Linked DNA regions of Coturnix japonica. The protein of the gene in region 1 interacts with the protein of each later gene in a pairwise test. Links are inferred from orthologs where the notes say so. Each region holds a gene or a part of one and is shown on either strand. Other genes may lie near its edges.

Region 1 (3,815 bases):
ACTAAGTGTCAAAATTCTGTTATGATTTTAAATAAGTTGAATTGTCTGCCATAACATACACTACGCAAGGTACAGGTGTCTAAGAAAGCTGGCCTATAAGCGTGCTTTATAACTCGTACATCAAGGAATAAAGTTAGTTCTTAGGTCAACTGTTTAGTCAACACCAAGTCTAATGACACGGATGATCTCTTGTCAAGCATATCAGGAATAACATGACACTGCTGGTAACCACTTTTGGAACTTGGTCTGTGAATAAGTCATGATGGTTGAGACTGGTATGTCAAAGAGAGAAATATACCTCAACAGTGCACCAAACCTTAATCCCTTTGTGACAAGCAATAACAATTTATAAGAAATATGACTGCAATTAAATATTTATCCCAAACTTAAGGTATCATTTAGCCAAGACATTTTTGGATAGTGAGAGTATTTGAGAAAACCTCAAAAGAATAAAACATGCAGTAAGAACAATCTGTTGTTATCAAATCACAACTGAACAATAAATTCAACTGCAATTAAGAATATAGTACTCTCAGAGACTGACTGTAGAAACCCCAAACTGCAGTGTTAAAAGAAATACAGATTTGAAAAAATGGTCAACTAACATAAGAGATGAGAGTACAGTAAGTTGAACTAAAGGGAGCACGAGATCTGGAATACCTGCTTCAGAACAGCTACTGTCACTCAGAGACTGAACTTAGCCAACAGTATTCCACAAGCATAAGAAGAAACAGAATGCATCTTGTGCTTACTCTTAACTGAGCACTCCAAAAACAGGTTTGCCAGCTTTAGATACAACGATTATAGTAGCACATTTTGATCAATGGGAGCTACTTTCATTTTTAAGTTATTTAAAATTGGGCTATCTAAATACAATCTGACAGAGACGAGGTGTTAAGGAAATTTCTCCACTTTATACTATGCATTAAAACTCAAGAAAGTAGCCAAGTAGAATCTTAATAAAGGAGAGAACTGAAAACTGGGAAGATTCTGACATGGTAAGTCATGGAAGTTCTCTGAATCCTAGTAAGTGACAAGTGTATGGCACCTAAACTTTTTATTCCCTTCACATCGAAAGCTGAAGAAAAAAATATTAGTAAAGGATTAAGTATCTCCAAAAGATGATGAAAGACCAACAGTCAAACAAGAAAGACAGAAGAGGAAGTTACCAAAGAACTGCTAGAATTTCTGTAAACTGCTGGTGCTGAAAGATATGGTTTTAACCAGGTACTGCAGGAAAGAGGTTGGTTTCTTTTTTTCAGCAAAAGTAAAAATGGAATTCAATGTCAGCACTCTGGCTCAAGACAAAGCAGTAAAATTCTTTCTGTATTCTTCATTAGCTGGAAGTTTACAACTGGCTATTTTGCATTTAATTTTATTTTCATCCCCAAGATGACAACACTCAATGCCCAGAACTCCTGCCACAAAATAACGAGGATTTTAAAAGGGGTTATCAAGACTTACATGACAAAAACCCTTCCAGAATTTGATTACAGGTCAGCATAATCTATGAAACAGGCTAATGTTATAAACTAGTAGCATCTTCATATCTGTATGTTTTTCAGCTACTCTAAAATCACATAATTTAATATTAAACAGTAACTTCAGAGTCACCTGTTTTCTTTTTCATCAATGTCAGAGGTACTGGCCAGTCGTCTTGGTATTGTGGGTGCAACATAGGCAAGTCTAGTTCCTTTTCCATCTTTCTCCTGAAAGACACAGATTTTTAGTAAGTGTTACTATTATTGATTACACTGCCTATTAGCTGGAAGATCACTGTTATAGCAACTACATTTGTATTTACCATGATCCAATTATACAAGTAAGTTTTAAGTTTCAGTTAAATATCTTAAGGATTAAAACAGGAGAAGGGAACTGTTTGTGATTTCATGCTAGTAATATAAATGGCTTGATTTCTCATTTAGAGCTATATTACTGGAAATCAGGAGATTACTTACTGAAAGAAACTAATTTAGTATTTTTGTATACCATAGATTAGTATTATTACTGAAAACAGATTTAAACATTTGCACTTGAAATAGAATATATGTTGTTCAGATACAGCCAGGTTAGGCTGCGGTTGGACTTGATGATCTCCAAGGTCTTTTCCAACCTGGGTAATTCTATGATGATGATGATGAAATTAGTCCTTCACTACAGCATATTTGTGTTTAAATATGCAATTAATATTTTATAAATTTAAAAAAAAATGACCACAGAATTCAGTAAGAGATTTCTTTTTCAGGAAGTTTTTCAACATTGTTCTCCAAGTGATGCCAAAACTGCCAACCCTCAGGTCCCCATAATTGCAAAAAAACACTACTACTGACAGTGCAAGTCCCTAAAAGATGTAAGTCCTACACCTATGTACCAAGTCAAAAGACAGTAAATGTGCATACTGTACTTTTAAAGAGATTACACAACAGCTCTATAATTTAACAGCTTGGAATTTTGCTAAAGTATAAACATGCAGTAAACTCCAAAGAGAATGTCTTACTTTTAGAATACATCATAAGCATCTGTGGTAAGTATATGAGCTCCTCAAAATACTGTTTCACACTGAAAACAATTACCTTTTCTTTGTTGTCCAATGAAGAGGAAAGTCTGGGACTTGAAGCAGAACGTATAACACCTGCAGAGTCCTTTTCTTTCTGAGCTTCTTTAGAAGCAGTAATCTCTGCAAGGGCACCGTAACTACCAGTTTTTCGAAGACCTAACCTCCATGAAGCAGGAGATTCATCTTTCCTCTCTTCTTCTTTGGGAGAAACCTTGGTTGGAAACTATAAAACAAAGTAGCATATTAAAGGCTATTCATTTGCACTATCTGTAGTAATTCATGTTCCTTGCAGAGATTTGAGGACACAACCACATTTAATAATCACAGAAGTACTGAATACATGGGGAAGTTGCAGTGAGAGACAACCTAGGCAATCCTCTCTCTAATTAGTTAATGAGATAAGAAACATAAAACTGGTCAAGGAATACTACTCCTCTAAGAGTTAGCTTGGAAAAATTCACACTTTGTAATACACACAGTGATCATGAGATACAAAGTTAAAACCATGCAAATCTGCTATCAACATTTGATTAAATATGTTATTTTGCAACCTGTACACAAGCCTGTGCACACCAGAACCTCACCATTGCCTTTTCACCCTTATTGGGCACAAGAACAATGCCAGTTTTGCGCAAGCCCTGCCTCCATGATGCAGGATCTACTGACTCCACGACAGGCATGATAGGAGGAATGAAATCATACTAAAGCCAATTGAGACAAGACAAAGATGAAAGAAAGGAAAAGAGAAACAAAAGGTAGTTCCAAAAGCACACAGTTTGTTCCTATGTTTATGGCACATAGCTCTTCATTACACCATAAAATACCAAAAGTAATAAGACAAAACTATAGTAACAGATTCTTATTAAAAACAACACCCTCTGTTGAGCTAATTCAGCAACAGAATTACAGTTTGTAGAAGAGAGGATACTATACATTACAAGGTCCGTGCCTAAATCATGGTACACTGGAGAATATTTCAAGATTCACAGTAACATACCCATTACCTTTCTCACTGCCTTTCATATTCCATTCATATCCCTTAAACTAGTCCTATGCTAACTTAGCTATCAAATCCCATACCTTTATTTGCACACTTGCCTAAGTTTAGTGTCCTCAGACAGAATGCAGCATTAGTAAATGCAATAGGGATAGAAGAAAACACAAATTTAAGTTTATTACACTGCATCTGCAGCACTTGTGAGCAACACGGTATGGCCATGTATGATGTAAAATCAGAAGAGTTGTAGAGATGTTGTAA
Region 2 (4,523 bases), about 29 Mb from region 1:
TAAAGCGGATAATAATTACAGAAAATTTAAATATGATTCTTGCACTTAAACTTTTACAGATTGTTGCAATTTGAGTGCATGCTACAAATACATTTTAATTAAAATCATCTCTCTGAACATAAAACTCAATTTTCAAACTAGTGCGGAGAGCAGGAAATGTTTAGCTAGCATTAAAGAATGAGTTAAGATTGATTTCAGGTAACTAAAGGTAGCAATCCTTACCACCATTGTTTTTTGCTTGTTTTAAGTGGTCCTCTTTCCAGATCTTTCTTGTCAAAGATTTTCATGAAGATATGAACAGTGGCTACAAATATTTTAAAAACGTTTTTGAAAAGGAAAATATTTCCCTTCCATAACCTTTTCCTCATCTTTAAGTATTATTCTGTGAAGTTCGCAACAAGTCCCTTTAGTAGCTTTTCTCTGAAAAGATATCTTTCGCGTTAAACATGCCTTGAAATTCATCCAGAATTCATTCACTCACTCTATCAGTATCCCAGAAACTTCTTCCTGCATTTTATTCTTTCAGACAGACCTTCACAGTTTGCTGCTGCCACTTGTTTTCAGAATCAAGAAAAAACATGCTGCAGGAACACTGAAAGCAGAAGCAAATGGTACAGCAGCCCAGCCTTCAGACATAAACAATTTCTTCTTAAGTCAAAACATCATTTTAGAACTCACTTATCCATGCTGAAAGAAAGATTACTGCCACTCTATGACCTTAGAGATTCATTGTTAAAAAAAATGAATTATACAATGATATCCAATTGAACACAGGTTTAAGAATACTAATCTAACTGTGTTCAAGACACCAGACCTTCAAAAATCATGGTGGCGCACTGGAACAGGTTGCCCAAGGAGGCTGTGGATGCCCCATCCCTGGAGGCATTCAAGGCCAGGCTGGATGTGGCTCTGGGCAGCCTCGTCTGGTGGTTGATGTCCCTGGACATAGCAGAGGGTTGAAACTTCATGATCATTGTGGTCTTTTTCAACTCGGCCATTCTATATCTCTATGTGTAAATTAGAAACAATTCATTTGTTCAAAGGCACTTAAAATCTCAATTGAAACATGCGGGAAACTTGAGTTAATTCCACATAACTGAATTATTTTACCCCTATTTTGCTAACCTTATTTGCTTCTAAATTACAAAACAGTGCCATTCCCTTTTTACATTTATTTTTTTTGTTACCATGAACACTACAGATTTACCAATCACATAATGACAAAATAATTATCACTCAGTGTCACAAGTTAAATATCAAGTGTTCACTGGATTATTTCTTCTGGTTCAATATCACCAAGTACATTAATCTTCCATGGCTGGCCAGCTCTGTAAGTTGTTCTCATATTCATTCTGTCATGTACTACGGGCTGTAAACTCACGCTACATCTTCCTCACCTCAGAAGAAGGATTACACTCTTTCACTTCACTATATGTATACAAAGAACACTGGTTACTGTTACTGGTTACTGTTACCTACCCCCCTGTCAATGCTGGTTTCAGAGATGTCAGGGATGGAGGCAAGAAGCAGAGAAAGCATCAGTGTGTAAGCCTAACATTTGCACAGGGCCTTTGGCCTCCCAAGAGAAAAAGAAAGCCAGAAAGATAATACACTTTTACACAAAGATCAAACTTCCTAGAAGTTATAATCTTCAGCTACTGTTACAAGAGCAGGGCACAAGCTTCCCATAAGCCTCCACTGACTCCTACCTTCCAGGGAAAGCTAAAACCACCACAGTCACAGCTGAACCTCTGCACATCCAGAGCACTTTGCTGTAGCCAGCAGCATCACATGGTGCTGCAGACATCCATCCCTGACCTTACAGAACAGGGACACACCACGTTTGCTTTTTTTCCCATTAACTATACGTTCTGTTTTTCATGTCTTTAAGTTACCTATGGTAATTCCCCCCTTCCTCTCGCTCAAGCTTGTTCTGCTGCCCGGCACAGACCAACCACCTCAAACCCCCAGAGCTTTGCTTGGACTGCAGCAGCACAACATGAAAGTGCCACGCGTGTACACTGCTCACATGAACTCACTTCTTACCTAGCAGGGAAACTGCAGCCACCTGCCCCGTACCCATAGCACCCGTAGGAGGACACCGCACTGGCCCCCGCCCCACAAGTGACTCCCGGGCCCTCCCAGGTAAACCACGGCGCCCTCGGGAAGGCAGAGCCATAACAACAGGAATAAGCGACACTCAGCCACCGGTGGTCGCTTCCCAAGGGCTCTTTAGCTACGCGAGCACCTCGAACACCACACCGAACCCGCGGCAGTCAACAAGCATTGCTCGCAGTCACAAGGACCACCCAGGCCCGGCGGCACGGCCGGAGCTCCCTCCCCCGGCACACGTGGCCGCAGGCGGGCCCTCCTCCACGCTACCTGGGCTGCGCCTCCCGGAACAGGCCCGTCATGGCCCGCACGCTCTCCAGACGGGCCGACGGTTCGGCAGCCATGAGTCTCTTCAGTCGCGCCGCCACCTCAGGCAACGCTCCGGCTTTCGCCGCCATCGCGTATCCCGGCACGGCCCAGCTCCGCCCCCGCCGCGCGGAAATGGCGGCGGCCCGGCCCCAGCAGCGGGCCGAGGGAGAGGGTGGGTGTGCGGTGCGTTCCGCAGCGCCCTGGAGCTGCCCAGGTCCCGTGCTGCTGCTGAAGGGAGAGTGTTTTTTGCCCTTAGATCGCTGCTTTTTGCGTTTTCTGCCCGTGGCAGGATGTCTACTGGGCTGGCCCACGGGGCAAAGTGGGCACTCTGGGCTGTGCTCTGTAAAACATTGCCTTTTCCTCAAAAATACCCTTAACAAGTTATCTGTAGGTATGTCTTCCCGGTCAGCTTTTATTCGTCGGCCCACAGGGGCCCTCAGGACCATCCTGTGGCTCTCTGCACAGCCTGGAAGGTAAATGCTTGCCACATGCAACACAAACATTTCCCAAGTGTTTTCCTCCCTCACTTCCCATATACTTTCACAAATGCTTGCCTCCAAGTAGGTAATACTGTATGTTTTAAATACATATAGAAAAGGTTAACATATTTACAGTTATTATTATTGTTACAGGATAAGAATTGGAACTTTCAGTGAATAACTATTTGTAGCCACATACTACAAAAGGCCTCGCTAGACAGAAACCAAACTTAATTCACCAGAGATGTGACAAGGAATTCAGAAATTATACTTCAGAAAGAAAGCATGATACAAAAAAAGTATGGGTTATTTAATTCTCACCATTCACATCCAGTGGTGAATGGAGTTTGAGTTGGTAGCAGGTAATGAGCGGTATTCCCCATGGGTCAGTGTTGGAGCCTCTCCCATTCAATATCACAGAATCACAGAATTGATCAGTATCTTCATTGATGGCCTGGGTGAGGGCATTGAGAACTCTCAGCAAGTTTACAAATGTCACCAAGTTGGAAGGAAGCATTGATCTGCTGGTGCCAGTGGGATGAAGTTGAATGTCACAATCAGAAAGGTCAGCATGGTGGAAGGACAATACAGGAATGTAGTAGCAAAGGGACTAGCACAAATAGTACGGGGTTTCAAAGGAAAAGCACTCACCTGTCTCCAAAGATCAGGGCTTGCAAGGGGAAATTCCACAAAACAGAGATCTCCAACCAGAGATCCTTCCACAATGGCAGTCAGCCCTTAAATGAGGTCTAAGAGAAATGGAGCCAGGCTCCATCTCTACTGGTCTCACAGCTAAATTGCCTTCACCTGTGCTCCCAGGGTTGACCAGCTGCTCAATCAGTGGTTCAGGCTGTGACTCAGGAGTTACCATACATTCAACAAGATCCAGTGCTGGGTCCTGCACTTTGGCTACAGCAAGCCCAGGCAACTCTACAGGCTTGGGGCAGGGTGGCTGGAAGACTGTGTGGAAGAAATGGACCTGGGGGTATTGGTTGATGCTTGGCTGAACATGAGCCAGCAGTGTGCCCAGATGGCCAAGAAGGCCAACAAAATTCTAGCTTGCATCAGAAATAGTGCAGCCAGCAGGAGCAGGGAGGTAAGCATCCCACTACTCAGCTCTGGTATGGCTGCATCTTATGTACTGTGTTCAGATTTGGGCCCCTCACTACAAGAAAGACATCAAGGCCCTGGAGTGTGTCCAGAGAAAGGCAACAAAGCTGGTGAGGGGTCTGGAGCACAAGCCTTATGAGGAATGGCTGAGGGAGCTGAGATTGTTTAGTCTGGAGGAAACTCAGGGGAGACCTTACTGCTCTCTACAACTACCTGAGAAAAAGGGGGGGTGGCCTCCTCTCCTGTGTAACTAGTGATAGGACTAAAGGGAATGGCCTTAATTTGCACCAGGGTAGATTCCATTTGGATGATAGAAAAACTCGCTGAAAGAGTGGTCAGATGCTGGAATGGGCTGCCCAGGAGGTGGTTGAATCACCATCCCTAGACATATTCAAGAAACATGTAGGTGTTGTACATCATGTACATGGTTACATGGGGAAATACTGGTAGTAAATGGATCTTGGAGGGCTTTTCCAACCTTGATTCTATAATTCTGCACTGTTAGGAAAGGGG

The links.
Region 2: the proteins of PPP1R12A (region 1) and ATXN10 interact in binary tests that used the Homo sapiens proteins (3 or more experiments, as listed by UniProt). The link is inferred for Coturnix japonica from reciprocal best matches to the Homo sapiens genes PPP1R12A and ATXN10.

The regions. Positions count from the first base shown.
Region 1 is NC_029516.1:35,956,226-35,960,040, forward strand, and holds part of PPP1R12A (protein phosphatase 1 regulatory subunit 12A), read right to left. Parts: intron 3,259-3,815; coding exon 3,142-3,258; intron 2,781-3,141; coding exon 2,574-2,780; intron 1,710-2,573; coding exon 1,615-1,709; intron 1-1,614. UniProt on the Homo sapiens protein: Key regulator of protein phosphatase 1C (PPP1C). Mediates binding to myosin. As part of the PPP1C complex, involved in dephosphorylation of PLK1. Capable of inhibiting HIF1AN-dependent suppression of HIF1A activity.
Region 2 is NC_029516.1:64,914,534-64,919,056, reverse strand, and holds the start of ATXN10 (ataxin-10), read right to left. Parts: upstream 2,883-4,523; 5' UTR 2,868-2,882; coding exon 2,383-2,867; intron 1-2,382. UniProt on the Homo sapiens protein: May play a role in the regulation of cytokinesis. May play a role in signaling by stimulating protein glycosylation. Induces neuritogenesis by activating the Ras-MAP kinase pathway and is necessary for the survival of cerebellar neurons.